Linked DNA regions of Nothobranchius furzeri. The protein of the gene in region 2 interacts with the protein of the main gene of each other region in a pairwise test. Links are inferred from orthologs where the notes say so. Each region holds a gene or a part of one and is shown on either strand. Other genes may lie near its edges.

Region 1 (4,254 bases), on a different chromosome or scaffold from region 2:
TATTTCTGAGCTGTAATTGGATACTCACGCTGTCCAGCTGACCTTGGACGAAAGCCAAGTTCGCCATCTAAACAGGACAGAAAAAACAGTATTGCTGGATTGTACATATGTGTAGTACACATATTCCAGAGGGGGTGTGGCCTCTTCCTCAGGTGGACTGGTGAGGATTTACCTGACTATAGGTATAGATGATGGCCTGGTTGTTGTGAGTCTGATGAGCCAGAACCAGAACCTGATGGAAGAAGGAGGAGGCTGCCTGCAGCTGTCCACGATGTATGCTGAGCTACACACACACACACACACACACACACACACACACACACACACACACACACACACACACACACACACACACACACACACACACACACACACACACACACACACACACATATGGCTTTACGGCTGGATTGGTAACCTAATCCTCGTTTAGCTTCTTACTGAAGAGCCTTCAATATATGCCCACCTACTAGGTGGGCCATAATCTGGTATAAAAGGGATGTGAATCCATCATTCGTCTCCCAAAGGCTCTTGAACCTACAGGAACCAGCGAGGCTCGCTGCCTGAAGGGGCTACGCCTGTACTCATAGCATCTGGGGTCACAGTCAGTAACCATTCTTCTATTTCATAAAGGCTTCACCCTTAAAGGCAAGGCATGGGACGAAGGCGTGGCTGGATGTAGTCTGATTCTGAATGGTTCACACTGACCACCAGAACACATTAGTTAGCCAAAACCCAGATAAATCCCTCCCCAACAAGCAGCAGGAGGAACGATGATGACGAGTAAAAAGTCAACGTGCATTCACGCAGCAGGAGACCCGCTGACAGAAATCTCAGTTCCACCAACCCTGTTGGTTTGGAAAAGGGAGGGTCGGCTTGCTCATTTTTCTTTCCCTATTGTAAAAGTGGTCCACCCAGACTGCCAGTCACAGCACCACTGGGCCCCCTGCTGTTGCAGGTCCAGAGATGTCTGCAGCAGTAAGGTTGGGCTGGAGCAGATGCACAGTCCACTGATCGGGGACATGAATACATCACTACTTGCAACAAGAATTCCCACTTTGTTGTTTGTGTTTTCATCAGTTGTACATGAATGTGAAGAAATGGCAGCAAGTCATGTTCATCTTCAAAGTTCCACACCTTCCTCGCCGTCATCGTGAGAGTCCACACTCAGGAACAACTAGACAGATCGGTGTGACATTTTCTTCTCAGTGGACGGCAGCCGAAGGATCTGAGTGGACGTCAGAACGGTGTTGGGCCACGCTGAAGAAATTACAGCCCAAAATAGAAAAGTTAGAGACAGAAAGAACTGGAATGAGTTCAAGCCGAGCAGAACCACTGGGGTCGCCACCAGCATCAGGCCCAAAGGTCTCATAGCCAACAGAGCCATGACGGTTCTGTCAGGTGTTACATGGAAGATCACAGCAGAGATCTCGTATGAGACGGGCTCTAATGAGGGAGGAGTCTGGTTCCACGCCCAGGAAAATAAATGACCTAGGATTTCCAACATTCCCTTTTGGATTGCTGTTTCTGCTGTGGAGTGAGCCAGGAGGAGCAGGTCTTTCAGATGAAGCAGAAATCTGATGACCACTGGGCGTTTATTTGCTCTTGAGTGCGCAGCATGAAGAAGAAATGGGAGGCCGAGGCCCGCCCAGTAGGCGGGTGTATAATAATGGCCCTTGAGTAAGTGGCTAATTGAGAATCGGGTAATCCAATCTCTGCCGTAACGGACGATGCATATACAAACGAGAACTGTAACTGCTGGATCTGATGCAGTCAGGTAGAAGATCTGGTACCTTGGCTTTCTTCAGCAGCAGGATCATCTCATCTTCCTTCGTCTGATCTTCATCAGACCTGAACAGGGAGAAGGCTGCAGACACACAGGGAGACAACCCAGGGTCCAGACCAGGAAGCAGAGTCGTAGTTTAACCCACCCCTCTGCAGCTTCTGTACTGTTACCCACCCACTACCCCATAGAGACAGTGTCCTGCCCATGGCCAAAACCACACAGATTAAATATCAGGCTTAATAAAGCAAACCAAGGAAATCTCATAAATATTAGAAGAAATTCAACTGAGCAGAAAACTAGAAAAATTAAATGTGGGTTATTGAACATTAGGTCTATGTTTTCTAAGACTTTGTTAGTTAGTTAGTGATAATCAGATCTATTTGCTCTCTCTCACAGAATCCTGGCTGCAGCAAGAGGACTATGTTAGCTTAAACGAGTCGACTCCTAATTATTTAAATCATCATATTGCTCGAAGTACAGGGCGAGGAGGAGGAGTAGCAACCAGTTTTCATTCAGACCTATTAATTTATGTTATTTTTATTTATCCAGATGAGTGGATTGAGAACACATTCTCATTTGCAACGAGGATCTGGCCCAGAGGCAGCTGCAGCAGACACCCTCAGGAGGTCCGCAGGATGTAGTTAAAAGTCTTCAGCTTGTCCAAAATGCTGCAGCTAGAGTTCTGATGAGAATTAAAAAGAGAGATCATATCTCTCCTGTCTTAGCTTCCCTACATTGGCTACCTGTTAAATTCAGAACTTCACTACCCAAACTGGACCGACTCACCAATCGCTGCACACAGAGCTGCTCCTCCTCCTCCTCTTCGTCCTCCTGCTGCTCCTCCACCACCAAGAGGAAAGGTTCCGCCGCTGGTTTCTGGTCTGGTCTCAGTTACCCAGAAGTCCAGATGGTGTCCAAAGATGAGACGCTTCCTGTTGGACATCACAAACCCATTCTTCCTCAGCGGAACCATTGAATGTTCCGAACAGAACCGCACCAACTCATGCGCCCTCATGAGCAGCGGCTCAGTGACGCCACGAACAGGTGCGCGTTAGCGCTATGTATCACCGAGACCGTAGTCTAGTAATCCGTGAACGGAAAACTTACGTGTGTCCTCCAGAACTCCCGAACCTCTTTACAACTCGGTTAAGGACGGCACGAAGCATGCATGACGCCGCCATCTTTTTTGTTTACATAATAAGAGGAAGTCAGGCGGTGGGACTCCACGCTTTCACAATAAAAGCATCATTGGAAAGTTTGTATTACTGTTTTTTTAGTTGGCAACAGGTTAGTAGTACTAGTGTATCTGATTTCTAAGTAAAATACTGGGAATCTGACTCAATATGTACCCAATCATCTGTCTGGTTTTTCAATCCGGTTCACTCTCCTGAAATGTGAGCCTCTATAGTCTAAAACAGAATCTCCTGCTTCACTCATTTTAGATTTAGTGGCAGAAATGGTGTCCCTACCATCTACCACATCCGCAGTAGTAGCCCAAGCCTTTCTGTTATCCTGGGTTGCTCGGGTTGGCCCACCCTCAGATATAAGTTCAGACAGGAGCACCCAATTCATCTCTGACCTTTGGTCAGCCATGGCACACAACCTGGGGGTCAAAACGCACCGGACCACAATTTACTTGAATTTATTTGACAGATGCTAGTTGACTCGACCGCCTGCCCTGGGTCATGTTGGGGGGGGGGGGGGGGGGGGGGGGTAGGGAGACGGTCTCCATTGACAGGCTAAAACCTTCACATGTCCTGTGAGATGAAACCCAGTGAGCAGCTCGGGCTCCCCGTAGAAGGTGGCCTCCGTCTGCCATTTGTTCAGACCCACAGTGACGTGTCTTTGCTGTTGCAGCACCAATCTAACCTCCCCAACCCCACACCCCTCAGGTTTAGCCACTCAGATCGCTTGAACAGGGCCAGGAACTTAAATATTTATGTTTATGTATTTAGCAGACGCTTTTGTCCAAAGCGACTTACAAGTGATAATCAGCATTTTGCCCTTGAGGCAAACAACAACAATAACAACAACAGCATTGACATCAGTCATGGAGAGTAGGGAACAAGGAGTGGACAGTAGAGAGGGGGGACAGGTGCAGGCAAGGTGCTAGTTAAGAAGATGCTCTCTGAAGAGCAGGGTCTTCAGGAGTTTCTTGAAAACTCCTGTAGTCATGTTAAGTTAAATGTAACAGACCATCTGGGTGTTCAGGAGGCTGTGTGTAGGGGACCACAAATGTATTTTGGTCCCATGCTATTGAGTGATTTATAAACTAGTAGGAGCACTTTGAAGTCTATTCTGTAGTTTACTGGTAGCCAGTGTAGAGATCTAAGAACAGGAGTGATGTGCTCCGTTATCTTAGTTATTGTTAAGACTCTAGCAGCAGCATTCTGAACAAGCTGCAGTTGCTTCACAGCTTTTTTGGGAAGACCAGTTAGGAGACCATTGCAGTAGTCCAGCCGACTAGA
Region 2 (3,331 bases):
TAAAAAAGACAGATTGAACGTACAAAGGAGTTTAGAATAAAGTTTGTTTTTGTTTGTTGTCACTTCACTCAATTACTTTTGATGCTTTAGACATTATTGAAAAAATACCAGAAATTGATCTTTTAAAGGGATAGTAGGCAGTTTTGGCTTGCCTTTATCGCCCCCTAGTGTCTGTTAGTGAAAGCAAAAGTGAATCTCCTCTTCTTGCTGTACGTTCGTCTTTTTAACACCTTAATCTAACTGCTAATTGTCTCCCCAGCCTTCATCAGGAGGGATTCATCACTGAATTAAACAAATCAGCTGTGTTCATGATCTAAACCATGCAGAAGACATGCTGGAAGCGGACTGCAGCGCCAGCACGTCAGCTCCACATCAGACTAAAGTGGGACTTAACAGGGAGCTGCTCAGATACTTTAAGATGGGTGATTCATTCATCTTCGTTGTAGTCATTTTGTTTTTCTCTACGTAAAACCTAATTTAGGGTTTTTCAAGAATATCACAGAAACAAGTCTGAAGACAAGGAAATTATGAGTACTTAAAGTTTTATTAGCAAAAATATTTCATTTCCAATAAACAAATATCATCATTTCACACATTAAAAAGTTGTTCATGATCTCAGCCAAACTTGTGTCTGCTGTCAGGATCAGACAGCAGCTGCCACTCAGCTAACAGGAAGAATGAGTTAATGAAGCGAGACGAAAACAGGTACCAGTCTACACACACACACTCACTCAGGAACAGCAGCAGTGTGTGATGGTGCCAGTGCATTCTGTTCTCTCCATACAGAACTGGCAGAAGCTCCTGGGAGGTGACCAACCCAAACATCACGTTTCATCACCATACCACTCCATCCATCCCTTCTTGCCCTTCAAACACTTTCAACCTTCTTTCTGATAACTTGCATCGCCATCGTTCTGTTAAACTTGCACTTTTCACAATAAAAGTGCACTAGTGCTAGCATCACATTCACAAGTGGATCAAACAAGCTAACATATTCTCTTCTTTTTCCGCCTCTATCTTTTCCGTTCAGCCTCTTTGGGCTTCCTGTGACATGGAGCGACCCAGAGCTCTGGGGGCTTTAGTGAACTCCATGAGGACCGGTTTGATGGGGGGGAGGTCTCTGGTGATCTCGTCCACACTCCTCTTGCTGGGGCAGACCCCATCTCGTGTGGGGAAGGGCTGCAGGTCGTGCTCTGTGTGCGGGGCACCACGTCCCAGCCTGACACCCAGCTCTGTTGGGGTAAAGATGGGCAGGGGGAGGGTGTGTCTCTTTGGCAGCAACTGGTGCTCCTTCATCCCTCTTTCCACAGTGCCCACCCTGAAGACACCAGAGGGGCAGGTCTGGATCAGAGAGCGGTACTGCCACTGCCGGGAGAGGGTCTCTCTACGGGAGTCGTCCTTCATGCTCATGGTTTGTCTGTGGGCATCAGACGACAGTTCAACTTAGAGACTTAATAACACTCCAAGGTTAAAACAAGAGGAATCTCAGTACAAACCACTGAGTAGATGGAGCATGTGGTGTCTCACCTGTCCTGAGGTTGAGTTTTCAGATCAACGCTGTGCCAGTCAGCACTGTAGCTCTCCCTCTTAGCCGTGTTTTCCTCCCGGATGCTGCAGGCCAGCTCTGCTCCCACCACCATGCCGTTACTCTTCTCCAGTATGCTGCAGAATGGCATGTTTTCTACTGTCTGGGGATCTTGGGTTCCTGAAAGCTGGTTCTCTCTCTGAGACGTCTAGACTCTCTCTTCAGAGTGTTTGAGTGGCACAGCGATCTGTCCACAGCTTTTATAGACGCCCCGTGACTATTTCTGATTCACGTTGTCATTCTGCTTCCAGTGTGTACTGACATCTGACACCGACTACTCCGCGGTTCATTCCCGGACAGCTGGAATCCAAACTGAGGATGAGTTGAAGGGTGGTTGGCCAGAAAATCCCCCTGGCTTCTGAAAGCACTCAGCCCACTTCAGCGGCGGTCGCAGAGGGGACAGAACAATCGGCGCTATGAATAGAGGTATGATAAACTTGTATGTTCAGCTGTGAAACGGGACAGCAGCCGCTTTATAAGGACATTTCAGATGATATAATCATCATTTTTTATCGTTAAAAAACAACCGGGCCTCATGACAACACCAGCCCCTCCGCTGGACGTCTTTCAAAGCTCCAAAGCGTGTGATTCATTACCTCAGTGACAGAGCACCACTCAAGCTGTTAGCAACTTGGGTTACTGACCGAAACACACACACACACACACACACACACACACACACACACACACACACACACACACACACACACACACACACACACACACACACACACACACACACACACACACACACACACACAGACACACTCACCTCTGCCAGTTATGTGTTGGTGTTATGTTACTACCAGTCCCTGTCTCTGACTCATTCACCCACATGGGGCACTGAAATCATCATCACAACACAGATATCACTTATCACACACACAGCATAATAATAAGGCATCTAAACGACCAGTTAGGCAGGAACACCAATCATCTAGACTTCTTACAAACCTCACGCTTTCTTTCCTCTCATTGTGGGACTTATTCTCATCTCTTTTTATCATCTTTCCATGTCTTTACCATTCGAGATGGCGGTTTAGTGTTATTTTCGTGCCAAGTGCAAAAACGTTTTCACCTGTTTCTTAGCAACTTATCAGCTAGTTGACACAACATGACAGGAATGCTGCCACGGTGAGAAAAAAGGTGTAAAGCAGCCGCTGGCATCCCAAAGGTCATCTGTTTAGGTCAGAAAATCAGCGTGACATGTTTTTGTCATTTAAAGAGACTTCCTGTTTACGTCCTGCTCACTGTCAAAAGGAGGAACGCGGATAATGATGTTTTTGCTTGTGCGTTTTTAGCTAAATATCTTATAAATCATTTAACATGTTTTGATAAAATAAAATATTAAATAAACGGCTGCAGTGGCGCAGTGGTTGGCACTGTTGCCTAGCAGCAAGAAGGTCATGCAGAAGGACCCCTGGCCTGGGGTCCTTCTGCATGGAGTTTGCATGTTCTCCCCGTGGGTTCTCTCCAGGTTCTCCGACTTCCTCCCACAGTCCAAAAGCATGAATGTCAAGTTGATTGGTTTCTCCAAAATTTCCTTAGGTGTGAGTGTGTGTGTGTGTATGGTTGTTTGTCCTGTGTGTCCCTGTGTGGCCCTTCGATGAACTGGCAACCTGTAAGGTGCACCCCACCCGTTTGCCTGGAGACTGCTGGCACCAGCCCCCCGAAACCCTGCGTGGATAAGCAGGTACAGAAAATGGATGTAAGGATGGACAGATAATGACGTTTTTAAACATGAAT

The links.
Region 1: the proteins of tcap (region 2) and ttc19 interact in binary tests that used the Homo sapiens proteins (3 or more experiments, as listed by UniProt). The link is inferred for Nothobranchius furzeri from reciprocal best matches to the Homo sapiens genes TCAP and TTC19.

What each region holds. Positions count from the first base shown.
Region 1 is NC_091751.1:33,600,149-33,604,402, forward strand, and holds the start of ttc19 (tetratricopeptide repeat protein 19, mitochondrial), read right to left. Parts: upstream 3,030-4,254; 5' UTR 2,968-3,029; coding exon 2,894-2,967; intron 2,719-2,893; coding exon 2,573-2,718; intron 1,868-2,572; coding exon 1,794-1,867; intron 284-1,793; coding exon 173-283; intron 68-172; coding exon 29-67; intron 1-28. UniProt on the Homo sapiens protein: Required for the preservation of the structural and functional integrity of mitochondrial respiratory complex III by allowing the physiological turnover of the Rieske protein UQCRFS1.
Region 2 is NC_091745.1:14,198,798-14,202,128, forward strand, and holds tcap (telethonin), read right to left. Parts: upstream 1,900-3,331; 5' UTR 1,677-1,899; coding exon 1,528-1,676; intron 1,418-1,527; coding exon 1,027-1,417; 3' UTR 526-1,026; downstream 1-525. UniProt on the Homo sapiens protein: Muscle assembly regulating factor. Mediates the antiparallel assembly of titin (TTN) molecules at the sarcomeric Z-disk.